Solanum lycopersicum: one gene and its partners. The protein of the gene in region 3 interacts with the protein of the main gene of each other region in a pairwise test. Links are inferred from orthologs where the notes say so. Each region holds a gene or a part of one and is shown on either strand. Other genes may lie near its edges.

The links.
Region 1: the proteins of BL3 (region 3) and T6 interact in binary tests that used the Arabidopsis thaliana proteins (3 or more experiments, as listed by UniProt). The link is inferred for Solanum lycopersicum from reciprocal best matches to the Arabidopsis thaliana genes BEL1 and STM.
Region 2: the proteins of BL3 (region 3) and ethylene-responsive transcription factor 12 interact in binary tests that used the Arabidopsis thaliana proteins (3 or more experiments, as listed by UniProt). The link is inferred for Solanum lycopersicum from reciprocal best matches to the Arabidopsis thaliana genes BEL1 and ERF12.

Annotation. Positions count from the first base shown.
Region 1 is NC_090801.1:61,366,785-61,377,762, reverse strand, and holds T6 (homeobox protein knotted-1-like LET6), read right to left. Parts: upstream 5,578-10,978; 5' UTR 5,279-5,577; coding exon 4,928-5,278; intron 4,686-4,927; coding exon 4,421-4,685; intron 1,688-4,420; coding exon of another isoform or gene 1,682-1,687; coding exon 1,437-1,681; intron 1,018-1,436; coding exon 814-1,017; 3' UTR 631-813; downstream 1-630. UniProt on the Arabidopsis thaliana protein: Required for shoot apical meristem (SAM) formation during embryogenesis. Negatively regulates ASYMMETRIC LEAVES1 (AS1) and ASYMMETRIC LEAVES2 (AS2 or LBD6). Probably binds to the DNA sequence 5'-TGAC-3'. Binds to RNA.
Region 2 is NC_090801.1:58,879,697-58,889,038, forward strand, and holds ethylene-responsive transcription factor 12, read right to left. Parts: upstream 5,488-9,342; 5' UTR 5,238-5,487; coding exon 4,773-5,237; 3' UTR 4,544-4,772; downstream 1-4,543.
Region 3 is NC_090807.1:66,654,984-66,665,690, forward strand, and holds BL3 (bell-like homeodomain protein 3), read left to right. Parts: upstream 1-3,752; coding exon 3,753-4,562; intron 4,563-4,917; coding exon 4,918-5,309; intron 5,310-5,978; coding exon 5,979-6,039; intron 6,040-6,437; coding exon 6,438-7,049; downstream 7,050-10,707. UniProt on the Arabidopsis thaliana protein: Plays a major role in ovule patterning and in determination of integument identity via its interaction with MADS-box factors. Formation of complex with AG-SEP dimers negatively regulates the carpel identity process and favors the maintenance of ovule identity.

The DNA of each region.
Region 1 (10,978 bases), on a different chromosome or scaffold from region 3:
AACTGGACCGGAATGACTAAGTTTTTTTTGTCTTTCTCGGTTTATACCAATTCAAATTGTATATAATTTCTCTTTTTCTCGTTTTATACAATTCGATTCAATTGTATATATATAGCGAATTATACATATATATATTTGTTATAGAGTGCAATTATACAAACTTTGCTATAGCATAAAAATATGAATTTTGTGTTTGCTATATGTAAAAGTTGTCCTTGTTATTTTACATAAATGTAAATTTAAATTTGTTTAGAGTATATTTTGATGTTTAATTATGTATTGAATTGTAAAAATAAGAAGAACAATATTATTTTTATTGGCAAAAAAAAATATTGTATGACTCAAATTTAAACAAATTCTTACGTACATTTATGTATGGTATATTAAGTTTTGACTTGCAAAATAACATTGGATATTTTGTTTTTCTGATTGGACTTACAAATTTTACATGCACTTCAAGAAAAAAAAGTACTGAATATATCCCCAATTTATTTAGCTTTGTAAAGTCTACAATTTTAGTCAGAAATATCCAATGAAGAAATCAGTAAATGCCGCGCAAAGTACAATACAACAAGTGAATTATGGCTTTTGGACGCTGGCTCGCAGGCAGTATTCTCGAAAAGATAAAACTAGCAAGTACAAACTATTTAATTCTATAATTAAAGATGATAATAGAAAGATCTATTACAAGCACTTTATATATTTGGTCTAATAAAAAGTTGATTGTGTCACAATACCTTGTACTACTACATGCACACAAGTAATATGCAAATTAATTAAACATCCTTGATACTAATAATGACAAATCTTAATTCAGAGGAGAGAGGGTGTCATATCCATTGGGAAATGGTTAGCAAGAACATTATCCATATAGTAATGTGGATGAGCAGCATCCATCACAACAAACTGCATATCTTCTGATGGTTTCCAATGCCTCTTTCTTTGATTGATAAACCAGTTGTTTATTTGCTTCTGGTCCAATCCCGTTGATTCAGCTAGTGCAAGCTTCTGAGATTCCTGTAAACCAAGAATCGCGCAATGTAACTTGACCGCGTAAAATAACTATGCATTGTCATTATTGTATATAAGATGGACACACATCACAACCTTGTCTGATAAGGCAAGCGAAAAACAATATATGGTCTTACAATGAAGTGATCATCCTAGTAGAGTAGAATTAATATGTAGATATTGAGCTAAGGACTGATTTATTTAACAATTTAGAAAAGCAATACTTTTACTTTTCTAATTTAAGTGATATTAGCTTTAATTCAGAATGAAGACCAAGCGAAAACTTCGTGCACCCGTAACATTATGTTTTAAAATTTAAGAGTGTCATTCTTTTTGTATGGATTACTAAGGGACATAAGGTGAAATTAACAGAGTGTATAGAGTCAAGAAGTGAAGTTATTAATAGGAATGAAGGAGGATCATACCGATGGATATGGCCATTTAATATGTCTAAGCCACCAATCCACCAATTGTTGCCTTGCTTCCTTAGGCAGCTTGCCTTTCTTCCTCTTCTTCATGAACTCCTGCTTAAGGCTTCCCAAGTAACCGCTGTACTTACGCAACAATTGACCTTTGAGCTCTCTATCCTCAGCCTGGGGGTCGATGAAACTGTTATTCACGTCAACCTCTTCATCAGATGATCCATTTCTATCCATTGCCTCGCCCAAAGCTACACCTTTAAGACTTAAATTAGCATAACCATTCTCCAAGAAAAAAAGGAACAACTATAGTTGAGAATATAACTTGGCTTATAATAACATTATAGTAAAAATCACTAGCTACTAGGATACGAGATAAGCTTTGAGTATGAGTACTCAGCTGGTTCTCTTGGGACGTGATCAAAAGTTTGGCACGTTAGATTAGCCAACACTACAGGCTAACATAAATCATTTTGCTCTTAGGCATTTGGAAACTTCTCAGTAGTTTCTTACACAAGAAGAGTAACAAAAATATGCTAGAGTTAATACAATCAAAAACAACAAAGCGATTCATAACTCACACTAAATCTAGGCAGAGAATAAGAAGCTTATAAATTTTATGAGAAACTTAACTACCCCTATATACTTGAGAACTATCAAGAGTCGTTTGGTTGGGAACAAATTAGTATTCTGGGATAATTTATCCCACCATGGGTCTAATCACTATGGTGAATATAGTGAGATAAGTTATCCCAAGCATGACAACCAAAAAACAAAATTCTAATACCATCACTATTTTATTATCCCACGCTAATTATTTGTATCCTTCTCACCAAACGACCCGTTACTATTTACTACTTATCAAAAAATACACATGAGAGTAACTATCCATGTTGCAATTAAGTCCAAAAAAAGCCAATTTCTTCAGTTGTCTCGTAATTGCAAGCAGTTAAGCCCTCGCTTCTTTTAGACTCCTCAAGATTCAGTTTTTTAAATCAGTGGGTCCTTCAGAAACCCAACAGCTACTCAACAAATTTCGTCTTCTTTATCCCATTAAAGACTCCATTGAGTACCTATAGATTATTAACTTCACAAGTTTGCTATGTTTTGTCTATTATGTGAATAAAAAAGTCCAAGCAAAGAAACTTCCAAAGAAATTTAGCTGATTAAGGAAACACTTGTCAATAAGCATATGAACAAATATACAATTAGATCAAACTAAGCAAGCCGTATTCACCAAGATGAATCCTTTGAATTCCGAAATACATTCGACTAGATATTTGCACCCTAAAAAAAGGAAATAAACTCAAAAGAGTAATTAAAAAAAAAAGATGTATTGATGAAAAAACACCAACTACATAATCCAATGACTTAAACAAAAGTATAACACATCAAGTAGGTTATATGATACAATCCAATAAAAGCTCCAAATCTAATCAAGAGTATTTTATGGGTCTCACTAAAAGGAAGGTGCATTTCTCAATTTTGTCTTGTATCTTTCTATTCTTTTAAAGTGTCTAAAAGAGGGACCTCATGGAATTATGTCGAAAGATTGTAACTATTTGTGCGATACAGCTAATCGTTCAGCCGATCAAGGACTTCTTCACAGACCATATATGAAACTTAAGTGCTTGCTAAGATGGATTGGAGCTTTCCAAGTTAAACAAATACAGATTGAAATCCAAATACATACAAACTATTGCCATTAGATGGAAGTTCCTTTTTCAGTGTTTATTTAGCTTATACGGTGTAACATTTAAGCATTCGTAGTTATGAACCATTTCCAAGACAACCAACTAATTCAGCACATCTTTCCAAATACCTAATAGATTTAAAATCATCAAAAACACTACTACTTAGCAACAATAATAGTTATAGAGAGTGATTCCAGTAATATAAAGATTACTTGACGTTAATTTGTGGGGTTACCAATCAACACAATTAACGAGAGAAACATGGAATGAATAACCTTTTCCAAAACTCAAAAGTCTTATATTTTAAACAATCAAAGCATGAAACATAAACTCAACTAACTTTGAGAAACATAACACCCACACATAAATTGAATTCAAATGAAAGCTTATGTTGAAAAAGACTTGATCAAAAGAAAGATAATGTAATAATCTGCTCCTTACAACAACAAACTGGTGTATCCAACGTGCAAAATCACCTAAGACTGGTTGGTATATAGCTATCTCCGCCACCCCCTCCCTTTCTACCTCAGTATACTTACAAAAGACCCTCAACACAAGAGAATCAAAAAATTTACTTCATAGAGTGTCAGAAGTAAAACCAAAGTAATATAATTTTGAAATTCATATTCACCATCATAATATATGCAGCTTCAATACAGAAAACTAGGGTTAATACATTATTATATCTTGAGCTAGTCATCAATTAATCTGTGATTGGCACATGATAGAACAAACAAAACCTGCACATGAATAGTAGGGGAAAAAAGCTGGAACAAGAAAGACATATTTCCCAGGGTCATTCCAAATAAAGAACAAGACAAGTTGAGTTTATTCAGCATACACAAGCATCCAGTTTGAAATGATTAACAAGGGACAAATATATCTTGCTGTTTACACTTACAACTAGCACCACACAAATATTATGAACATGTAGAACAAGAACCAAAATAAGATAATTATTCTTTTTCTTTAATATAAATTCCAGGTAGTATCCCTGGCAGATGTATTTCATTGAATATTGAGACAGAAACAAAACTATTTTAAAAAATCATTGTGAAATACAAGAAGGTAGAGTAAATTGATAAAAAATTGAAAATAAATGGTCTGCATATGGAATTGAGCTTATTTTATTAGTACATAATAATTAATTAATGACTGATATCATTGGAAACATGCACATGCAGAGGACATTAATTTATAAAAGAATAAACTCAAGTAAACAGTTAGGATCTGAAAAGAATAAATGTCACCATTTTAAGAAATGAAGAAAAAAAATTTGATATATATATATCTCACCAGATTCATGAGAAGAATTAGGTGCAAGAGTTAAAGCTTTGAACTGACACTCAATTCTTGAAAGAAAAACCATGGCTTCCTTGAAGGGTTTTGAGAGTTCTTGTTCATATTTTGTCAGCATCTCACAATAAGCCTCCATGAACTGATCTAGTGCAGGATCTTCTCCAATGATTCCACCACCACTACTACTACTGCTACGGCCCATTGTTGCTGACGTGGCACATATTTCCTCTAGCCTTGCCACCACTTCTGGCGGAGCTCCTATCTGCAGTTGTTAAAAAGAAGAAAAAAAAACTAGGTTTTTTCAGCTACTGTCCCTTTCACACACATGATTTTGTTTTCAGGGTTTTTTATTGAATTGTTGCAGAGAGTCACTTTCAAGGTAGAAAAAATCATCAAAATTTCAAGAAATACTAAAACCCATGTTAAAAAATATAATCTTTGAATTGTTGAAAAAAAAATGAATTTTTTTTTGTTGGTGTTAATTGGGGGGGGGGTGAATTTCACCTTTTGACAATTGAGATAAGCAGTCAAGAGACGATGGTAGTGAGGATGAGCCATAATCTTTGACTTGATGGAAGAAGAAGAAGAGTTGTTGTCTTCTTGAGGATTATTGTTGTTGTTGTCCATGAAAGGAAGAAAAAGGATGTTGTTGCTGCTTGTTTCTGCATTGTTATTGTTAGTTAAAGAAGGAGGAGGAGGAGGCATCATCATCATCATTGGAGGAGCACAAATTGTTACATTTCCATTTCCATTTCCATTACCATTTCCATTGTTGTTGTTGTTGTTCTCATGATCTCCATATCCCATCATCATTAAACAAGATGTACTAGTATTTCCACTAGAACCACCCTCCATTATTCTCTCACACACTTTCTTCTTCACTCTAAATTTTGTTCCTTTCTATTTGTTTTTGCCTATGAAAACCATCTCTCTCTCTCACACACACTGAGAAAAAAAAAAGAAATGGAAAAAAACCTCTGTTTAACAGTAAATCTCTCTTCTCTTTTTTACGAGGGTGTGTGTGTGTAAGTGATCTCCCGAGTTTTATGCTTACTGATATCAGGCTTTTTCACAGCAAATCCTTAATGGAATACATAGTTAGCAATACTACTAGTCAGAAAAAAAAGCAAACACACAATATTCCTTTTTTCTTTTTCTAAAAAATAATTAGTAAAAAACAGTGTATTGTTCACTTTTCTTTTCTTTTTTTTTTCTCTCTATAGTGTTGTAGCAAGAAGCAAAGACTATGAAAAACATGAACATGTTAAAGGGTTAGCTTGTATTTGGGTGCAAAATTTTTACCTTCCCAATGAAAACTCATACCCCTTTTTTCTTCACTGCCACTGAAACACTGTCATTATCTGCCAATATCCCTCCTCTCCTAGTGAGAGAGAGATATACAGTTTAATTTTTATTTTTAGATTAGAATGATCAAATCGAGGTGCAGTGTAATTTCTTCTGTGTTTTTATGTGTTTCTTGGTTTTTGGGTTATTGGAAAACAGACAAGAGTGAGAGTTCCTTACCAATATTATAACTTGAGACCTATTTGTCCCTTAATTGAATATGATTCTTTTTGCTTTGCTTCTTCTTTCAACCACTAAATTAAACTTTATATCATTATTTTATATTAAAAATTAGATTAGCGTACACATTATATTATACTAGTAGTAAATTAACAAAAATACTACTTTTCAAGAATAAAACGTGAAGAAAACTTATCTTTTTTAGAGGGAGAGGGGAAAAAAATAGACGCACAACAAAGGTGTGAATTGTGATGTGAGTGGATATAGCAGTAGAAAATCTTGAGATTCACATCTTTAAGAGACTAAGCTCTATGGTAGGTCTGACCAAAATCGATCGGTAAGTAAATAGTTAAAAGATCAAATATATTAATATTTTGAGCAATTAGAAAGATTAAATCCTATAAATGAATAGTTAAGAAACTATTTAAACCCTACTCGAATAGTTAAGAAACCGTCAATGACATTTTCTCTAGATTTTGGAGGAAGAATTTTTAAAGAAATTACAAATTGTTTTTTGTTCATAAACTTTAATCAATTTTTGACAATTTACATAAATTTGGATGAAATTTCATTTCACTTATCCTATGTATTGTTTTAAATCCTACAAAAATATTTCACACACCATTCAAACTTCAAAAACTGATATTTTCAAATTTCCATCTTAATTTTATAAGCACTTTCAAAATAAATTACTTAGATTGCTAATCACCTAAAAAACATTAAAATCAGACAAAATCATAAGTTGGTCATGTTTAATGTATAAATTTTCATTTATAAATATTTTAAATTTGATAAAATATATTTTAATCAATTTGGAATAGATTAATTTCTTGACTTTTTATTTGCATCTTCGAGAAACTTTTATCCCAATTTTTTTTTTCTAATTTTCAAAATACTCTTTCCAAATTGTGATGCTAAATCTCTTCCATTCCATATATCTTCTGTCGTAATCTTTTGTGTATATGTTTTTTAGTATTTATAATTTTTTAAGTAATAATTTTAAGGATATTTTAATTATTTTAAGGGAAAATTTAATAGTTTTCTTTTTTTTAAAAAAAAAGTTCAGGTTAAAATTCTTGAATAAATGAAAAGGAAAAAAAAATCTAACGAGTTGTTTAGAATAAAAATATTTGAAGAAAGATTTACCCTATTGGGATAGGGAACTATTTATAACTTTATTGTCTTTTTCTTGTTCTAGTTATACATGAAAAATGAAATAAGAAATGATATTTGATGTATTTCATACTCCGATAGACAAATATATAATTTAGTTTCCTATTATTGACAAACAACACACTTCATTCACAGATATTCTGTTCATTTTATTTATATATATTTTTGGTGCCTTCAGTGCCATTATTATCTTATGGCATTTTCTTGGTTTGTGTAGATTACTATAACCCCCACCTATTTCCATTTCAATGAAAAAAATGTAACTTGGACACTTTGCCTCGCATTGTTTTTACTCACTTTAATGGAAAATGCTACGTACCCCACCCCAAAAGAATCTTCAACCCAATCTACATAACTAGTATTTAGTTTTTGAGGTCTTTAATTGAGGTTAAATAGAAAAATAATTATTTGTATCGAATATTTTCGTCTAATTATCACAATTTTCATTTGTAACTTCATGAAGTAAAATGAAAAATAAATTTTAACACATGACATGACATGCATATATTGAATTGATGTATAAACATCTTATGCGGATAAGTTTTATCCACACTAAATAGCTAGAACTTTTTGTCAGAATCTGATTTAGAAATTTAAAAAGTTATAAATATTTTTTATTTTAAAATTAACTAACTTTTTTCTATTTTTTATTAAAAATTATTAAAGTCAATGAACGAAAATATTTAAGAAGATAAATAACATACTTAAGATATTATTCGGGACAAATTTTCTAGGGAAGAGAATTTTTCCTTTAATTTAATACCCTATTCTGTACATTCAAAATTATTGGTAGTAAATAATAAATTTTATTGAGATATTCAAATTACAATTTATTCAAGGAGTATTTAAATACTTGATAAACTCTTTATACTAAATATATTTAATTTTCAACGAATTTTTAAGTGTTCATTACATATACAAATTAATCATTTTAAGTATGTCTTCTCATTTAGGACTCATTTGGCTATAGATTTCTCAAATAATATTTTGGGAAAAATTTGATAAATAATTTTATTTACAATTTGTCATTATTTAACAAATATTTCAAATTCTTAAATACTATTTTTTTCTAGTATTTGGACCAAATCTCATTATTTTGGGATCTTCTTAAAATTAAAATTTTACTCCAAACTTTTATCTTTAACAAAAACACCCTTTTATAGTAGTTGTTTGTGTTGTATTAAATAATTTTTTACGTAAACACCAAAGTAGTGATGCAATATTCAGTGAACATTAAATGATTATATGGTTGTTGATGAAAAATTGTTTCATGACTTATGGAATGATGTTTGTTGCATTCCCTCCAAACTATCACATTGCTCTAGTGTCATGGGCATTATTTGTTATTGTTGCAACGAATATCCAATTGACTTGTAATACAAACTTATAGTTAGTTTTGATAATTTTTAAAACTTATGGGTATAAAACATATTTTTCTAAAAATGTGAAATATATTTCCCAGATATTATGGTCAAACGCTAGCTTACTAATCTGTAAAATCTCATGCTTATACTTTGATTAATGCGCGTTTATAAAGACACCTAAATTTTAATTAAAATATGAGTTGAATATAACTATATATATATATATATATATATATATATAATTTTTAAAAATGGAAACTTTCGCATATAGCTACTGAAAAATAGTTTAATTATGCTCCACAACTATAAATTAATTAATTACAATTTCAGTTACATGTTATAGGAAGAAGAGTGGCTAGCGAGACTAAGGAGAGAGGCAAGCGAGATTGGGAGAAGGAGGAGAAAGACAAGCGTGAGAGAACAATAATTTGTATAATTCGCATCTGGTTTTTGTAATTTGCAGGTATGTTTGGATATATTGTATGTTTTTGTATAATTGAGTAATATAAAATCTGTAGTTATACAAATATAATAAAACTTGAAATAATGATTTGATACAAACAAAACACATATGAACTTTATACAATTATACAAAATATACTATACAAATGACATTATGTAGATCATATTATACAAAATTTGAAAACTACGTTTATAGAAATTTTAAAAAGTTATACACAAAAAGATTCAATGTATATGATGACAAAACTAAAAAATCAAATGAAATTATCGTCATATACAAATACAAATCATAACATACAAATACAAATCAAACAAAAAATTATTAATATCAAATTATACATATACGAACTCAAATTTAGCCTATACGATATAATATAATCAAATAATATAAGTTTATTTAACCGCGTAATTTTCATTGAAAAAATGACTTTATACTTACTATACAATCTTTTTGTGAAAAATGAAATAAACCTCCTCCCGACCCCTAAATCTGCCCCCGTCTATTTTCATCGCCAAGTGTTGAATCAATTGATATATTATTCTGGTAAATTGCTGACCAAAAAATAAAGTGAAGTACATCAAGTGAGACAGAATAACGAAACACTATTGAATTGAAGAATAATTTGTATCGAAATATAAAATAGAAAAGCACGAGTTGTCTCCAATTAAATTTACAAGTAAATGAAAAGGTGTCATCAGTCTTTCATCTATCCCATCTAAAGTCTCTAATTATTTCCTCTAAGAAAATTAAAGTGCAGTTCTAGCTTCAAAAAGCTGTTTATTTCGTGGGACACTACCAATGTCTCTTCTAACTTCTATTCCTCTCTCTAATTATTTTCTTTTCTACTACTCAATCACTCATCAACATTACTAATTAGCTTCTAATTAAGTTGGTACAGTTATTTGGATTTTCAATTTTTACAGTTTACTTTTATTTTGTCATGTTTCGTTTCAAAAACGAACAATCAAAATTATAGTTAATAGAATGACTTCATATTAATATGATAAAAAAAATAATTCTAATATGTTACGAAATATTTAAATATTTTAAACTCTTAAAAGTTGATAATAAAGTATAAACTATACGTAGGTGCAGAGAATAAAATCAAACGAAAAGAGAAAGGAAACCCCTATCAAGTCTACTATATAGTGCAACCTTAAACCTTAGATGGAATGCCAATACCCAATAGATGCTTTAGCTATAATATGAGTTTGTTCAAGACTATAAATAAATACTTACTTTCTTTTACCTTTTTTTTTATATATATATATATACACACACAAATAAGTCAATGTTAGTAAACAAATAAATGAGTATTAGTACTAGAGTATTTTCTGATATTTTTTATGATCAAATATATTATTACAAGGAGGTTTGCATCATTTTAAATCCGAAATAGGCATTATTCTAGTGGTAATGCTATATCATACCATGATAAAAAGGGAATCTGATCTGCGGATGTATTTTATAATTATGTACGAGACAATAATTTTCAATTGTATTTTATAATTATTTAGTTCTTTTATGATTTTAAGAAGTAAAGAAATATGATAAAGATTTAAGAATATCAAAATTTCAAGTTTGGATTGCAAATTTTTTTTCAAACTCTACGTCAAATTAAAGAATATAAGAAGAAATTAAAGAAAAATTCTAAAAAATAGTACCATAAATTAGAGTTTTAAGAGGGAAAGTACACAAGTGTAAGATGTTGAGACATTAAGAACATGTAGGGCGTGTTATGACTTCTCTCACACAGTCAATCTTAGGTTCAGTAAGTAGCTGGGGCTTTTGGGCTAGTTAGGGTTTAAGTGCTTCAAAGACCAAAAACTGTATTGTATCCCAAATATACATACATATACACAAACCTTGTACGAACATAGACGTTGTGACATGTGATATCAAATTATAAATTTAAATTAATACTTATATGTTCGATTGAAATGTTTATATTTTGCAAAAAAAAGTTTGATTATAATTGGTAAAAGTTAGATATGCATGTATATAAAAGGGAAATGTTAAATGGATAGAAAA
Region 2 (9,342 bases), on a different chromosome or scaffold from region 3:
TATTTACTATATTGAAAAATCAATACTCCATCGTTGGAGTATACTCTACTTGTCATCTGCACCAAATTTAAAAGTGAATTAGTAGATTCTATGAATTTTAATTTTGAAGATTCAATTAAAATAATTCAGGATAATATCATAAATGAAGACTCAATTGATATAATCCAATAGAAAACTTTTTAGTCATTTTTGTGAAGATTTTAGATTCAAATGTTTATTTGCAACAGAATTTTTTTTTTAGTGAATTTAAGAGTGCATATTGAATTTTGTATTAGAAATGATGAAAAAGGGGATTAGTTAGTATCCAAAATCAGTTATAATATTTAATTATTATAAAAATTAATTTAATAATAATTAATTAGAATAAAAGTAGAAAATAATATTTAATTTATATCCTAATCAGGTAAATATTTGCGTATTTTCACCCTAAATACACCTTCAGTTAAATTTTAAGGACCCTTTGACTCATAAAAATTATTTACTTTTTTCACGAATAGTGTTTCACTTAATTAAGAAGATTTAATCAAATATGAAATTGAATTTCAAAAAACAACTAACAACTTTACTTGTTGATTATGTTATCATAATTTCAAATTAAATATTTTTTCTCTTATTTACAAAATATAATAAAGACAATTATATTTAAAATTTTCGTAAATATCACTAGTGATATGAGCTAATTACTTAGATATACTCTTATTTATAATATTACATATCTTACTCGATTTTGGTGCATTCAAATACGTCCAGATTTATGTATATTAGGACACATGAGTCAAAATTAGGCGTAATATGTTCTAGTTAAATAGTATACAAGTAGATTCTCATATATTTGAGATACATGTTTGTCTCTATCCATCACGATCGCTACTTTTTTATGTATCTAGTATCCGAGATACACGAGCATAACAACCTATACAAACATATACATGTATCTTGTATGTATCCAGTGTGATTATGCATGTATCCGGGGCTATGTAACGAATCTCGCTTATTTTTCTCTTTATTTTAGTGTATCTAGCATAATTCACATGTATCTAGAATACATTACGAAGTTTGCTTGCCTCCATCATCCATTTCGTTCACCAGCTTTCTTTCGTTTCGCTCATCTTTCTTTTTGTTTTTGGTGTATCTAATAGTTAAAGTACATATAATTAAGTATATATTTGTTAATATATTTATAAGATACATAACCATTTATATAGTAATTATATATATAGCAGTGAAGTATGTTTAATTAGAAAATGTTTTTTCTTAATCATCAAATGATTTCTTGAGTTGGACCTCCTTATCAAATTGGGTCCATAAATCACAATAGTGCCTTTTGAATTTGGTGGCCACACGACTGAGTCTAAATTTATAATTTAGTATTATCGAAAATAAAAAAGAACCGAAAATCACACCGGACAACAAGAAAAGAAAAAAAAATAGGGTTAAAAAGAAGTAAACGGCGCCGTGAAGACGGAAATAATGATTAAAGAGGCGCGTGGGTCCCACCAGACGCCTTCACAGTAACGTTTATATTCATTTTGCTCATGCACCTAATTAACGAGCGGAAAATATAACTCGATAGAGTCGTAAATATTCTTTTGAATTTTATGAATATAAAATTTTTTATTTTTATAAAAAAAGTAATTATAATATAAATTTAAACTTATCAAATTACAATTAAAATAGTAAATAGATTGACAACAAATCTGCCTGCTATACTGCTCCAGACGCTTTATTAGGTACCTATATCCATTTTTCCTATAATATTTCTTAAATTATTAAAAAAAAAGTAGAAACTTGCGTGTTGTACTTTTTGTTTTCTGAAATTTTGTTTAGTCTGTCTGCAGTACTACTGCTGGAAATTCACTGTTCAATGCGTCATCTGGTTTTGCTTTTTCTCACTTCCCATACGTGTTATTTTCTCAGTTTTATTGTGTAACTGCCAAAATACATATATTCGAATATATAAATTTAAATTTTCAAAACATACCAAACAATCAAATTTCGGTCATAATTCTATTTTATTTTTTTATTTACTTCATTCAGTCAAAAGAAGTTTCAAATATAACTTGAAAATTTATTTATATGTCCACCCTACTTTCAATTGGTTCTCTGCATGAAATATTACGTAATGTTCTTTCTATTCCTGTTTCTTATTTATTTATGTAGAGCCCACCACGTTGGTTGTTTAAAAAAAATGTAAGCTTTTGGTGATAACACGAAAATTATTTCATTTTTGTAAAGTTTCCTAATTTTCTATATAATCTATGACTTGGTCTAGTATTGCTGCGAGCTTTAATTTTTACTTGAAATGGAGATTTTTTTATTATTTTTGACCAATTCAACATACAATGATTGTCACAATTTTGTAGCATTAATTTAGAAAAGTTAAATAATTTTAAATATGGAACAGTAAAATGTTTGACTAAACTATGATGACAAGCCGCCCCATTAATTATACCTTATAATATTATACACCTAAACTGTCATTGTCATTAACTTTAATTATCACACTAAAACAGTTAGTATAATCATTTAATTATTGCCATTTATCAGCTGCATGCATGCTACCGGCAATATTTTCTTGGTATTAAAAGATTTCTGCTTTTTTTTGGATATTTTATTGACAAACATTACAGGTTTTTTTTATATTATAATGTTTGTGCTTATTCATTACTCCATTTGGTTAAAGAACTTATCCATCCTTTTAGGTAAATTAGTATAAATTTTATTTTTATACATGGATAATTTGTCGAAGTGAACTTCAAAAGACTGGACCCACCAATACCAACAGATACTTTAAAAAAAATTAAATATTGTTAAAATAAATCAAGCTTTAATAAGACAATTCACTACACTATTTTTATATGTCTGTCTTAAGCTTTTCTTTATTTTCATATTATATAATAGCCCCACGTACACCCCATTTCATAAAGCCAAAAAAAAGACCTCATCCATTAATAACCCCAATTTCTGGGGATTAATTTGTTGGTCCCCCCTCCCCTCGAAAACAAAAAATCAGATTCCTCTATACTATAATCTATTTTATGACTTATTTTATAACCTTACTATTTTTTCCTGGTACGTTCTCTCAATATAATGGACCCCTTAGCAAGAAATACGAGACAAATATATATTAAATGGTGTACATACTATTTAGTTATATTTTGTTATAAATAAGTTAGTATTCTTTCTTCGCAGTTTCATTCTGTCGTACAGTGAAATTTATTATTAATTGAAGTCGATTAGAATAATTGTAAGTTTTAATTTTTCCATTACAAAATCAACATGGACGTTGGATACAAAACGAAGTTTTGAGTTTCAACTTCTTAGTTCTAATATGTTAAGAAATAATGGCAAAGCCGAAATTTATATTAAGAAGGTTAAAATATTAAAAAATTAAACACTTTAAAAAGTTTGAATGGATCCCCTTACTTTCATATGGCTCTGCGAATAAAAGAATTCATCAATCTTCTAAGACTAAAGCGTTGAATTTTTACAAAAATGTAAAGTGGTATCGAAGAATTAGTTGCTGGTGTCCATTGAATTGAACTTATTATCAAATAAATTCATAAATTTAGTTTATTTCTTAAAAAATTCAAAAGTGGCACCGAAAGTTTTTTTTTTTTTTGGGCCAAAAATAAAGTTCGAGCTCTAATAGTAGTTACACTGATTTTCACCAAAATATACTTAAAAGTTTGCCTTTTGTTGATTGGATTTTGTACCCCATCCACTTTTTATCCATTAAAACCAATTTCTGTCAATCATCCACCATATTAAAATCTATTTAGCACTTCATGTCTTGGATAATTAATAAACTAATTAAGTTAATCTCTTACCAAAACGTACTCATCACAATCAAAATGGATCCCATTCGAAAGTAAATGTAATTAGATGAATAAAATTATAACTTATACATTAATGGGAAGTAGAGAAAAAATCTAAGCATGTATGCTTATCAGCCTGCTATAGTTAATATTGAAAGTAGATTTAGGTCAAAAATAATTATTTTTGCTGAGTAAATTTGTACTATTTAGGGACAATCCTTTGATACTATGTAAGATTTTTCAACCTAAGTTAGTTATTATTATAATAATAATAATAATAAGTCACTTTCTGCGTTTACCCTTTTTCTATACATAACTGGCCTAATTAATTGTAATGCTCTTTCATGCGCCACCTGAAAAGGTGAAATTAAATATCATGTCTCAAAAATCTACCACATCTCAATTGAACAACAAACAAATAAAGTTAATTTAATATGTCAAACATGTACGTATATTTTCACACGTGCAATCATATCGCACAGGTGCGAATCTAGAATGGATCGTGAATGTTAGTAAATAATTTACAAAATTTAATAATTTATGAAAATTCATCTCGATTTATATTCACACAAAAAAAATTTGAATAATATATATATAGGAACACAATTGTTGCGCAAATGTACGTTTTGGACGTATACATTAATTTACTGTATAAAATGTTTTTTTTAAAAAAAAATTAGACTAAAAAGTACAGACAAAGTACTTCAGTTTTATGATGAGCGTGGTACAAAAATATGGAGAATTTGGATTAATATTTAAATAAAAAGGGTATTTACATAATGATGTGCTTCCTCCTAATAATAACATTAATATATTTTCTTCTTTTTTTTCTACTTTTCTTCATAGAAATTACCTTTCTCCCAAAAGCTTGAAAATAGAGAGAATGACAAAAATGAAAAAAAAAAAACAAAAAACGTAATTTTACTAAGTCATTAATTATCCGCCGCCGCCTCCTCACATCCACAACGGCGGCGGTTCGTTCAAGTCAATAGGCAACCCACGTCTCACAATCCCAAAATACATAGCTGCAGCTCCAACATCGTTTTCCTTCGCCGGCGCAGCGACGGTGACCGGCAAGTTAAGTTCCGGCGGCGGACCTACTTGTAGAAACTCTCCAATCATGAGCCTACGTCCGGAGGGGGAAGTCCACCGGTGATCAGATGGAAGGTTGAGATCGAGTGTAAGAGGAGCGGAAGAAGGCTGCGGCGGCGGCGGCGGAGGAGGGGGGAAGTTTGTTTTTGCTTTAGCGCCGCGGAGTGAACGGGCGGCGCCGTCGTAAGCGAGTGCCGCTTCTTCTGGAGTGTCGAAAGTGCCTAACCAGACACGTGTTTTCTTCCACGGGTCGCGAATCTCTGCGGCGTAACGGCCCCAGGGACGCTTTCTCACTCCTCTGTAGTGACCCTCACGAGTGGAAGCCATGGAAATGGGGGAGGAGAGAGAGAGGGGGGGATTTAGAGAGAGAAAGTGTATGAGTGTTGTGTTTGTGTGGGGTTTTGGGAGCTAAAAAAGAGTATATTTGGGCAGCAGTAGTAAAAATAAAAAAGGGACCCACGCAGACACCCGTAATCGTCGGTTGGACGGCACGACCTCTCTCCTAAAATAGGCAAAATATTTAGGTGAACATGTGTTTGGTCGGAAGGAAAATGTTCCGAAATTATAAACAGGCTCTTAAAAAATGAACGAATACTTTTATCATTTCATGGTACTGTATTTTAATACTTATTTTTGGAGAATCGGTTAGTAAGTTACATAAAAATAATGTTAAATAAAATATAGTAATAATGTCTATATTAATTATATATAAAGAGAGATTTTTTTCTTATGCGTTTGATTTGATCTATTAAAAATAACATGTATAATACAAAAAATATTTATTTATAAAAATATTCTGCACTATTATACTAAAAAGCTATAAAAAGAATTTTGAAGGATAGTAGGGTCTTTACTCATACTAATACATATGTTAAATCATTAGCATTAATTGTTGTAGTAAGTTACAAATTTAGGGGCGAATAAAAATTAATTTTACTTAGCAAAACTTAAATAAATAAGAAAAATCATATATAGTAGGGGTATTATTTCGAAAGAGAAAAAAACTAGGTAGCATGGTATACGCCATTGTTTTGACATATCAAACTAAAAATAGGTGAAGTAATAGTTAAACATATGCGATTTCAATAAATTATTTTGCAAATAAACAATTATATATCTTATATTTTACAAATTCTATAGTCATGCTATAGATGGAATGATAAATATAGACTTTTGGTAATGGTAAGTCGGTCCTAAAAAGAGAAAATTTTCTTTCTCTCTTGTTTCTAAATTGCTTCCATGAGAAGCTACAAACTTCGATGAAGTAGTAGTATTTCTTTGATAAGATATACACTCCTGATTTTTCACAAAGGCAGGTGACAACTTTTAAGGAAAATTTACAAAGATATTGTATTTAAGACTATGATTTATAATATAAAATCATATTACATAAACATAATTATTTAATTTGATTTTAGTAAATACTTATGTCCTTCAACGTTGAATATGCACAAATAGATATTTAAATTTGTATAAAATAAAATAAGTAGATACAAATGTTTACATGGCACAATACATCTAGAACGTCATGTAGGACAATAAATTGCCATGTAAAGTATTATGTAGAACAAATGTGTTCATTTGCTTAATTTTATATAAATTTAAGTGTTTACTTGTGCACACCCAAAATTAAATGTCATAGTTTTCAACCGAGTCAAGTTAAGATTCATGTTTATGTATTATGTCTATATAAAATATAACTTTTCTTATTTACAAAATAAATCTTTTAATTAAAAATATGATAATTTAAATTAATAAATATTTTTTAATTTTATTTTTGGTTTTTAAGTCACTAGTGAAGTCGTTTGAAGAATTTGCAAGTTTGTTCTAATTATGGTGGATTCAATTAATCTTTCATTTCCACCCACGTTTCTAAAAAATCTCTTTCTTAGTATTGATAAAGATTAAGAAATAGCCTAAAGTCAAAATACAACAGGGGATAATATTTTTTAAAATCCAACTTTTAGCCTATAGTTTAATTCCACTGATGATAAATTGACGAACGTATAATTTACTTGCATCAAAATCACGTGGGTTGATTCGATTCTAGAAAAAATTATGTCTACAATTGAAGTTACTATTGAAACTAACATATTTTGAAGACAGAAACTATTTTAGCGGAGCAGCTGCACTTTATTTTTAAAAAATTAAAACATATTAATTGATACTTATTATAGTGTTTGACTAGGTATATTATTTGTTACATTTTACTAATTAAATTGCGTATTTTAAATCTTTTCATTTTTTTATATTAATAATTTTATCATTATTATTAATAATAATAATAATAATAGGCCAAATTGTTGGGTTTTCCCCCCTCAAATACCTCAATCACGTCATTTTCTTATTGAATCATTGAACCCATAATTTGTTCCGTTTAAACAAACACCGTTGTCTGATGTGGAACCAGATTTTTGAAGGATATTGATAGAGGGTACATATGTTGTTCCACGAATCATTAGTCTAATTGATGGTGAAAATATTTGAGAATAATTGTGTTTTACTTAAAAGTTATTTGAACACATTAGAAAACAGATGAGACTAGCATGATTTGTCTTCATTCCTTCAATCAAAATTATTACAATTCAAACACAATTAAAGACATTTACAATAGAAAAACTGATCAAAATTAATCAATATTGTTTTAAGAAAACAAATTATTAGTGTTTCAATAATTTAATTTAAAAATAGCGTAATTAAAATACATGAGAAAAAAATCCAAATAAATTTAAAAATAACAATATATTTTTAACCAATATTGTTTTAAAAAAACATAACAATATATTGAGTGAATTTAAAGTACACATAGATCGTATACCTGTACTTAGATACCTCGAAACTTATTTATTCACACGGTATAGTTAGTGGATATATCCAAAGTATGTGAAGCTGAAAGTGGGACAATTAAATCCACCAATTTGTCAAATTGTGGAGATACCTTTTTTTTTTTATATATATATATATATATTATGCTGATATATCGAAATAGCTTATAGTAGTACAATAATATATATTATTATATTATAATTATATAATAAAAAAACCCAGAATACATGAGTTTTATGTTATTTGTCGTATAAGTAGGTGGAGTGCATATATAAAATAAGATTAAAAAATAGAGAGGAAGAGAGGCGCCGGCTGATGGGACGTGTCAATCACATGAGTAGGGCGTGTTATTCTACTCTCGACTTATGTGCTAAATGCAGATTTTTATTTTTCGATTACAATTAAGCGAGAAACAATTTCATCATCGATGATATTACAATTGTATCTTTTGATAATAATAACAAAATTTAATATCATTTTTTGTTACTATTAAAATAATGTGATTATCTTTGAATGATTTGGGAACTTTATTAATTTGAAGTAATAATAATATTGTAACACGTGGATATTCTTACTTATCCTTTTTCCCATTTAGGGTCCTATTCTCTGTCTCTCTATGGTGGAGTCTTACATCAGCCCTATAGAGTCCCTACACCCTATTTAACCCTTCACTGTACGGCGCCTGTTCAGCGGCGCCTCCATCTTTTTTTTTTATATTTTTTCTTTCTTTAGATTTAATATTTTCAATTGTTTATTTATTGCATCATTTTCAATAGGCTGACACACATATATATATTTTTATACACTGGAATATCCCTTGTCGTTATATGTGTATAATAATGAAGGCCCCCCTACCCTACCCACCCCTCTACTAACAATTTAGTACAAATCAGCCATCGAAGTAGATGTGATTATTTTTCTTTTAGTTAAAAAATTGTGTGTTAGAAATATTTTTTTAAAGCTTTATCTGATACGAATTTAAATAGATAAATTTTTCTTACATATGCTAATTAGCAAGTGCGAACTAAAAATAAAATGAAATTTAATTTAATGTGATAATAAATTTATTGTTGCGTAAAACTTGTCTAGTAAGATACTTGTATTATTCGCTAGCTATGGTAGGGAGATCAGATTTTATATTTGGTGCATCGCCGAAAAGATTACAATTGCGATTTTTCGAGGGTTCCAGAATTATTATTATTATTATATTATTTGTGCGTATAAAGCTACTGATATGTTCTGTTGAAAAAATAAAAACTATACTGCATATTGTATTGTTATCTGAAAAGGCTATTAATGGTTCACAGACTCACCTCCCATGACACGGCATTAACACAAATAATTAACTATACTGTTCCCTCTGTCCTAATTATATGAGTTAATAGAAAAAAGAATTTTTTAAAAATAAGTAATATATATTTATACGACTTTAAATAATATTAATGAGAATTTTATAATTAAGACTACTAATTAACTAGTTTTTTTATTATTGACGAAATAAAAGGAACTAGGGAGTACTTATTAAAACTGAATTCCGTCTTAAAAAAATACTCCCTTGTTTCATTTTATCTATAATTTATTTTTAAAATATATTTTTATTTTTACT
Region 3 (10,707 bases):
TAACCCAAATATAACCAAATTCATCATGTGATTTTTTTCAACAAGTATTATTTTTGTCTTTTTTTAAAAAAAAAAAATATTTGGCCCCCACTTTCATAAACCATATTATATAACCAATAAACTTTCTAATTTTTTTTATGAAATATTTTTTTTTTCATTGATCCAATTTAAATATCTATGAAAATAGCTATCAAAATATATCAATCTAAGTATTTATGAAAAGAGCTATCAGAAAATATCTATAGAAAAATAATATTTTTTTAGTGAAGAGTTGCAATTGAAGAGAGTGCAATATTTGCAGATAGTTTATTCTGGCTCAAACATTCGATTAATCTTTAGTTTATAAAAAAGTTTGATGTATAAAGCTTTTTATATTCACATAAAGTTTTAAAACAAGAGTGTGTACCTCAAGAGAGTATAACATAGACAACTTACATTAATATAAGTAATAATATTTAATTTTACAACTCGAACATATGAACTATAGGCTATAGATATCACACAGAGACATTAATGTTACTGTTTTTTTAGGGCTCTCTTTTATTAGTCTTATGTTGGCCTTTTTAATCTTTTTTTGTTTTGATTTCTTTATGTTCTTTGTTTTATAAAAATATCTCTAGTGTCCACACATTGAAAATACTTGAAGAGCTAATTTTACCAATATTTAAGATTCTTTTTTGACATGTTTTTGAAAAAATATCTTGCAAGTTCTTTTTTTTTTTTTTAAATTTGTGTGTAATAATATTGATGTTCAAGTAGCTCTATCTCACGAGAAGCTTCTTATTTAACTTTTTATCATTGACATCTTACACACTTAACATATAAGTAGCACCACAAGTTGTGACAAACTTACTCACAAGTACAATATAAATCGAGCTTCAAGTTCTACGCATTATATTTATTTGTTTATAACACGTAAAAAAGTAATTATTAAGTTATGTTGTTCATATATAAGGACCTATTGAGTCATCAAGAATCATAAATACTATAGAATCTGTCCTAACGTAATCAACCGTCCAATGTTAAGCTACTTCTCTAGTTAGAGTTACCAAATTGCTCACTCAATTGTCCTTTTTTTTGTAAAAAATCAATGGAAAATTGAGAAAATATGAAGGAAAAAAAAGATGATGGTCCCAAAAATTATAGAGAAAAAAGATTGGTGGAAGGCTTTAATATAAGGGGGGGTGGGGTAGGGGTAGGGTAGGGGGTGGGGGTGTGTTTAATTAGAATTAGTTGGAAAAAAGGACCACCTCATATGATGACAATAGGGCCATAGTTTTTGGGAATATTTTTGCACTGCCACAATGTTAATGGCATCTAATTCCAACCAGTAGTAGGCTGACTCTTCTTACTCTTTTTCTGTCTTTTACATACCCCCCTGCACCCCACCCCCCTCAAAAATCTTGTTCTGAAAAGGTCTAGTTTTGGAATTTTTGATCAGATAGTAATAGCCCCACAAAAAAATGAAGGAAACAGACTAATGAAAAAAGAAAAGAAAAAAAAACACTATCTGAAAAAGCCTGGTTACAAACTATAGCTTAGCTTCAGTTCTAGGGATTTGTAATTTTTTCTTTTGGTACTCACACAAACCCCCCACCCCCCAAACACACACACACAATTAACCAATAATGACATAATGAGTTTTTGATGTTTCAAGATTATTATTATATTATAGAAGTATAATATATATAGTATATAGTACAGTAATCAAAAAAAATTTAAAAAATGGGATTTTGGAAAGTTGTAATATTATTATATCTCAGAATAGTCCTATATTACAACCTTCCAAAATCACCTTTTTTTTTTAATATCTTTGAGAAATAAAAAAAGCTAGCTTGGAATTTTATATAGATTATTTTATGTGAAAATGTTTGACTAAATTTTGAAGTTAAAAAAAGAAAAAGAAAAATATATTTGTTATAACTGATATGATTTTAAATATGAAATGATATTTGTGTATATGAAATATTCTCTTTGATCCTATCTATCTTTTAATTTTTCGAGATTTAAACTATGTGAATTTTGATCGATAGTTTTAAATATATATATTTATATTGATACGAGATGAATTGTAATTTATAGTGTTTTTCGTACTGTGTATCTAAATGTTACTTTTATAGTATTTATCAGTTGACCGAATCCAATTTTATAAGCTATAAAATTTGTCAATTTTACTCTTGAAATGAAAAATTGACACATACTTTGAGACAGAAAATGTATTATTAGAAGTAAACTGAAAAAATAAAAGTGTCAATTAAAGAATACTAGTATAACTTACCACAACAATAGTATAGCTAAATGAGGGTACAAGTAGAAATGTTGCTTCTGATAGACACTATTAGACTCGAGAAAAAAATATTTCACCAACGGTCGGAATACTAGAATAATGACTTAGATTATATATTGAAGACGGGGTGGGAACAAATTATTTTCATTAGACTCTACTAATAGGATTATATCGAATATGTTATTGTCGTTGATTGAATTCAATTTTAATTAATTTAAGGATTAATTATTGAAGAGGGAGAGGGGTATTTTTTTTAATTTGATTTGATTTTCTTCCTAGGAAGTCTATTTTGTACGTATTGATTATCTTGTTTTGCATGAGAGAGAGAAAGTAAGAGCAAAAAAGCATATATCAATGAAAAAACATGGTTTACAAGTCATCATCACACACCCCCTTAGGCCTCTCTCTCTCTCTCTCCTTAACCTCTGGAAAATCCATAATGTTTTCTCCTTCATCTGATTTTCATCATCCTCACTAATTTCTAAGGATGTTTTTTTTCATTGTACACCATGTTTCTTGTTTTGTTTGAGAAAAAAAACAACACAGAGAAAAAAAAAGGTTCATTTCTTGATCTTCCCTTTTCTTTTCTTGTTTTGATGTTTTATGTGCAAAAACAAGTTGGTAGTGAGTAAAAATTCAATCTTTTTGTTTAATAAAGGATGGTAACTAAAAAACCCTTTTAGTTTTTAGTTCATTTGATCTTCTTCTTTTTCTTTTTTTTTTTTTTTGCCTTTTGTTCTCTTATTTTGAAGTTTTAACTAATCTACAAGCATTTGGGTGTGTAAAAATTCAATCTTTTTGTTGGAGAAAAGATAACTTCTAATTCATTTGATCATTTTTTAAAACTTTTGTTTTCTTGTTTTGAAGGTTTTACTAGTCATCTATGTTGGTATATAAGCATTTGAGTGAGTAAAAATTCAATCTTTTTGTTGAAAAAAGGTTAACTTTGATAGTAACTAAAAACCCCTTTAAGTTTTTAGTTCATTTGATCTATTCTTTACCTTTTGTTTTCTTGTTTTGATGTTTTTAACTAGTGGAAATATTCAATCTTTTGGTTAAAAAAAGGTAAGTAAAAACCCCTTTTAGTTTTTAGTTCACTTGATGTTTTATTTTTTACCTTATGTTTTCTTGCTTTGAAGTTTTTAACTAGTCATCTATGTTGGTACAAACACTTGAGTAAGTAAAAATTCAATCTTTTTTGTTCAAAAAAGGTAAAAAAATTATTTCTAGTTCACTTGATCTTTGCCTTTTGATGTTCTTCACTCTACTTATGATGTTTTTTTACCATTTTTGGGTTGTTTTAATAAAAGATATGCAGATCTTGATGGGATTTTTGTTTGTTGCAGAATCATGAAAGTACTTAAAGAGTTATAAAGCTGAGATCTTTATATGTATATATAGCTAGATGGCTAGTCATCATCAAGAAAGTATTATTCGCGAAGAGATTAAACCAAGATCATCATCAATGGTTACTAGTACTGGTTATTGGTTTTCATCAGATACAAATAATCAAAATCCAACACCACATAACAATATTGTGAATCATCAGTTGCAAAACTTTGAAACAAATCCAGATTTGTACAATTTGAGTAGTAGTACTACTTCTAGTATGGATCAAATGATGATAGGGTTTCCACCAAACAACAATAATCCTCATCATGTGTTGTGGAAAGGTAATTTTCCTAACAAGATCAATGGTGTTGTTGTTGATGATGATGATGATGATCACGGTCCTTCGTCTTCTAAGAACATTAGTGAACAATTTTATCAACATGAAACTATGTTGGCAACAACAACAACTAGTCATCAAGATTCATGGCATCATGATAATAACAGGACATTACTTGTTGATGATCCATCTATGAGATGTGTTTTCCCTTGTGAAGGAAATGAAAGGCCAAGTCAAGGACTTTCATTATCTCTTTGTTCATCAAATCCATCAAGTATTGGTTTACAATCTTTTGAGCTTAGACATCAAGATTTGCAACAAGGACTAATACATGATGGATTTTTGGGTAAATCTACAAGTATACAACAAGGGTATTTTCATCATTATCATCAAGTTAGGGACTCCAAATATCTAGGTCCAGCTCAGGAGTTGCTCAGTGAGTTCTGTAGTCTTGGAATAAAGAAGAATAATGATCATTCTTCTTCAAAACTACTTCTAAAGCAACATGACACTACTGCTACTACTTCAAAAAAGCAACTTTTACAGTCTCTTGACCTTTTGGAACTTCAAAAAAGAAAAACAAAATTGCTTCAAATGCTTGAAGAGGTATATCATATATATATATATATTCTTTCAATCCTTTTTTCTTTTTAACATGAAATTGTTGAAAAAAAGTTCTTTTTTTAATTGTTCAAAATCTTGGTGAACTAATTTTGAGGCTGAATATGCCCTTTTCCATTAATTGCCCACATGGTGACAATTTCACTATTCCATTAATTCTCTATAACCCTTTTCTCCTTTTTTCATCACACTATCGGAAACAACCTCTCTGCCTCCCGAGGTAAAGGTCTATACAGTACTCTACTCTATCCTTTCCAGACCCTACTTTTTACGTATGTTGTTGTTGTTATTCATACTTCACTAGGCAAAAAAGATTCAATTTTTTTTGGATTATGTGTAGGTGGATAGAAGGTACAAGCATTATTGTGATCAAATGAAGGGTGTTGTATCATCATTTGAAGCAGTGGCTGGAAATGGAGCAGCAACAGTTTACTCAGCCTTAGCATCAAGAGCTATGTCAAGGCATTTTAGATGTTTAAGAGATGGTATTGTGGCACAAATTAAGGCCACAAAAATGGCTATGGGAGAAAAGGACAGTACTACTACTCTTATTCCTGGCTCAACAAGAGGTGAAACACCAAGACTCAGACTTCTTGATCAAACTTTAAGGCAACAAAAGGCTTTCCAACAAATGAATATGATGGAGACTCATCCTTGGAGACCGCAACGCGGTCTCCCGGAAAGATCAGTCTCCGTCCTCCGCGCGTGGCTCTTTGAACACTTTCTCCACCCGTAAGTCCGATCTCAAAATTTAAATTTGATGAATTCAACTTACCTTTTAAAACTTATGGTATGTCACTATATTGTTTTGGTTAAATATAAATTATGTATATTTTTTTTATATTATACATTTGAACTTGTCTAGTTCTCTTGCTAAGTATTGTATTTGTTTTATTACTTGAGTCGAGAGTTTATCATAATAGTATCTTACCTGATCATAAGGTTGTGGTAAAATTGTATACATACTATCCTTCCTAGACTCTGCTTGTGTATTACACTGAATATGTTATTATAAATATTGTGTATTATGTATTTGAACGTTATTATTTTAAGTGATAGATTATTATTAAAAAAAAATTATTTTTTTATTTTAAAAAAGAAGAAAATAATATAACCCCACTTGTAGTTGTAGTACCAAGGATCTTTCTATGGGCCATCAATCATTGTTCACAAAAATAGCTAAATATTTTGGGAGTTGCTCTCAATTTGTTGTTACAGTAACTCCTTTTCCTTTTTCCTTTGTCGGTTTTAACTATACTATATATCATAACTACTCTGACTATAGAATTTTTGTTGATTTTATTTTGTTACATAACATAGAAAGTACAACATATGTTATTATAAACTATAGTATAAGTACAATTTATATTTACTTTCTTTATGGAAAATATATTCTTGCAGGTACCCAAGTGATGTTGATAAACACATTTTAGCTCGCCAAACTGGTCTTTCAAGAAGCCAGGCATGTCCTTTTCTCCACCATAACATATTAATGATATAGGTGTAACATCGAGTTTACGTTATATGCACTGACAAAGTGATAATATAAAAAAGAATTACATTATCGACCAGTTAATTATCATTTTTATCATGCTACACACTTCTAGTTATCATCATTGATATAAATGTAGAGTTTAAGTTATATGCACTAACAGTGACAGAATTATTATGAGCATTTTGACATATTATAAAAGATTGTGTTCAGTTTGTACTTATAGTCATCTTTTAAGTGATCTGGTAATGTAGATTTTTATCGCCACTCATACTCTTTACTAGTACATATAGTATAATTGTTTATATTGTCAGTATATATAACTTTGATGTGATGCACGTAAGATTGAATGTATTTTTGTTGGGCAGGTGTCTAATTGGTTCATTAATGCAAGGGTAAGGCTATGGAAGCCAATGGTGGAAGAAATGTACTTAGAAGAAACAAAAGAAGAAGAAGAAGAAAATGTTGGATCTCAAGATGGATCAAAAGCCCTAATTGATGAGATGACAATTAATAACCATCAATCATCACACATTGATCAAAAGCCAAATCTTGTAAGAATTGAGTCTGAATGCATATCTTCCATCATAAATCATCACCCTCATGATAAAAATGATCAAAACTATGGAGTTATTAGAGGTGGAGATCAATCGTTTGGCGCGATTGAGCTAGATTTTTCAACAAATATTGCTTATGCTACTAATGGTAGTGATCATCACCATCATCATCATGGTGGTGGTGGTGGAAGTGGGGGTGTTTCTTTAACATTGGGATTACAACAACATGGTGGATCATCAATGGGGTTAACTACATTTTCATCACAACCCTCTCATCATAATCATAATCATCAAAGTTCACTTTTTTATCCAAGAGATGATCATGATCAAGTTCAATATTCATCACTTTTGGATAGTGAAAATCAGAATTTGCCATATAGGAACTTGATGGGAGCACAACTTCTTCATGATTTGGCTGGTTAAAAAAAAAAGTGATCATATTCTTCATTTTGGACCTTATTATATACTCTAATTTTATTATATATTGGTGATGAATCATATCATGATAGGTGGATGGATATTATAAGTAGTAATAGCTAGTAGTTGCAACAATATATGGGGTATATATAGATAATTAAATGAAGTGATTTTGAATCATACAATTATTGAAAATTCTACATTTTGGAATTTCATTTTAGGTATTTTGGGTGATGATGACATGAATTTTGTTTCTATAGTTGGTAATTCTTGTGATAGTTTTTGGTGATTTTGTTATGCATCCAAATAATTGCCATGTGATTGAAACAAATATTAGTATATTCATATTTTGCAATTTGAAAAAAAAAATACAATTAGTATTAATCTGAGTTGATATATACTTATCTATCGAAAACAATCTTTCTGTTATGTGTATGTTTTACCTTTTTTCAAATTCGACTCGTGAAATTATTTGTTGTTGTTGTTCCCTCTCTTGTGTTTGAGATACTTAAGTGATGGAATCACGTGTGGTTGTAATAACTCAAATGAGAAAAAAACAATTTTAATTTTGTTTTCTGGGATTGGTACAAGAAGAATTAAATTAAGCTGCAAAATTAGTTAGCCTCTCAATTATCAAGATTAAGACCATCCAACAGAAACTGGAAAAAAAAGGCATTATTAATTATTTCATAATTGCACGTATAGTCCATGAATAATATCAAAAAAAAAAAAATCATTTTTCCAATTATCATGAATTCTTTTACGTAAAAGTGCTTAGAAAATTAAAAATACTTTTATTCGTGTGACGCTAATGATAGAGGATAAATCTAAAAGAAGGACATGTTAGATTTGAGATTTTTGTAAGAAGTTGTGCATGTTACCTTAGACGAATGCTATCACGATAGAAAAAAATGAAGAGTTTTATAAAGTATGTCACATGATACATGAAGACGTATGTTATCGCGGTAATATTTAAAAGACAAATCATAAGCTTTAATTTGATGGCCCAAAACGAACAATACGTAACATGAACTTTGATCAATTGAAAGAGCTTAATCAATGTCTTTTCTCTTTATTGTTAGCTTAAGATTATAGTAATTTTTAGTTAATTTTCAATAATTTATAAGTATATATTGTTTTATGTTATAATATAGCTAGAGCTTATTGCTAAATGAAATATATATATAACTTGCTTATACTATAGGACATGCATGTGAGTTTGATCAATCAAAACTATATATCAACAAAATTCTATTTATCATTTCTTTCTTTTTGTTTTTTCGATAATCATAGTGTTTGAGTTAGCTTCGTGCATACCTCGACTAATTTCTAGATATTAGATTTATAACAAATAGAAAGAAATTACTTACTGTATTTTTGTTCAGGCTAAAAAATTTCCTTTTAATTAATTAGTTACATATATTCTATGGTATCTTATTTACTTCTTTTGTGAAATATTGTGTCCATAGCTGAATTAAATAAAATAGTAAATGGCTGGTAGTTGGAGTTTAGACTGCACATGTAAATATTCTATTTTCAGAAACATTATGTTCATTGCTTTCTTTCTGTTTCTATAGTTTGTTTTAGATACTTCCATTTTTAGGTATCTTTTTCTTTAAAATAAAAAACATACGGCCAGAAATATTTATCATGTTGCGCTTATTGAAAGTTAATTTGATTAACTTTTTTAAAGATAAATTAGATCACATTAATTTGATATTAGAAACAAAAAAAATTAGATATTCTAAAACTATATGAAAAGTACTATAAATTACAATTTTTTCATATTAATATGATGAAAAAATACATCTTAAAATGTTAGTCAAAGTTTTTATAGTTTGACTCTAAAAATAAAAACCATGACAAACAATACTGAACGAATGGAGTATTTTTTTGAAATATACATTGACTTGCATGAGGTAATTGTACTATAAAAACAAGAATTAGTGACAATTTTTTGATGACACTGTAGTTTATTTGGTAGTTTCTCCTTTTATTATTGTTATCGATATTTTTTATGATAGATAAATTAAAAATTACTTTGTTAAAATATTTCATAATCGTAATTAGCATGAAACACAAGTTAATTTGGTCTATTTTCAACAAGTAAATTTTTTCCATTTTCAACAATATGACACAAGACATTTACAAATTTGATGAAACCTTTTAGTTTATTTTACACTTAAAAAAGTGAAAAGAAAAAGTATAGGACAAAAAGAGTATAAAATTATAATAAAAGATATATAAACATGCAAGTTTGAATAAGAATCCTAAAGTGAAGTTTTCAAACAAATATTTCCAGCAATGAAATAACAATAATAAAACCTATTAACTTATTCAGAAACTGAAAATATATTCTGGTAAGTTAACTTAATTTTTCTAGTTTACTCCTAATAGTAAGATTTTATAGCTACAAGCTCGTATATTTAAGACCTAAGTCCAAAATATTTTAAAAATATTTCTTCGTTAAATTTTATATTTAGTCAAACTATTTCATATATAAACTGTGTAAACACCTTTATGTTAAGGGTGTCAATTGACACTCCTCCAAAATATTACATTATTTAGCTAGCTTAAAAACTTTATTTTGTGTACTTATAAAATATGTTGACTTCTTTTTGTTCATATTTTGACAATTTTTAATTAAATTTATGTGTTGCCACTATATAGTTTATGGATTGACATGAGGATCGTGATTAACATTTGTATACACCTTCATTAAATATTTATAATAAGTGATCATGAACTCAATTATTATTATATATTAATTTAGGAGCATCATAAGAAATCAAAATTTCTAAATTCTATAAATTTTATTCATGATTAAGTTTTTCAGAAAATTATGCGGTTAAGCAAATTTATAGGACTTGGTTAGTCATCATAGCTATAGTTTGTTATAATTACCACTCACGACTAACATTATTAGTTAATCAAGTAAGTGGCCTGGGTCCTATTTTATATAATTAGCCACGTTTGTATAATTCACACATTTTTATAATTCACAACTAACAATTCTTCGTTTGATTTGTATTTGTATACGATGATTTGTATTTATATATGACGATGATTTTCTTTGGTTTTTTCAGTTTTATCACCATTACATTTAATATTTTTTTGTATAAATTTTAATATTTGTATAAACATGTAGTTTTCATATTTTGTATAATATAATTTGTATAACTGTTTAAAGTTCATATATTTATATTTGTATCAATTCGTTATTCGAGTTTTACCATAAATGTATAATTTCAAAATTTGTATTACTCAATTATATAAAGACACACAAATTATACAAATTAAACGAAATGTGAATTATATAAATTATTACCCTCTTTCGTTCGCCTCTCTTGGCTATATGCGAAAATTCTCCAAATTTTAATGCTGCAATGGCCCAAGTAAATACAGGCCCATTTCAAATCCAGTCCACACCCTTTTAACGTTTTGACCCGACCCTCTCTATTTCCGTCTCTTTCCCTCTTTCTTCACTTCTTCTCTGCGATCTCATCTTTTGTCTCAGGTAAATTCACAACACCATACTCTTTTTAAGCTTTTTCGTTATTCGTTTCTTTTATACAGAGAAAAGGGTGTTTTTTGAGCTTTGAATTGTTCCTTCTCGTTGATTTTTTGGTAAAGTCAATAGTCTTTTATTATAGTTTTGAATTTC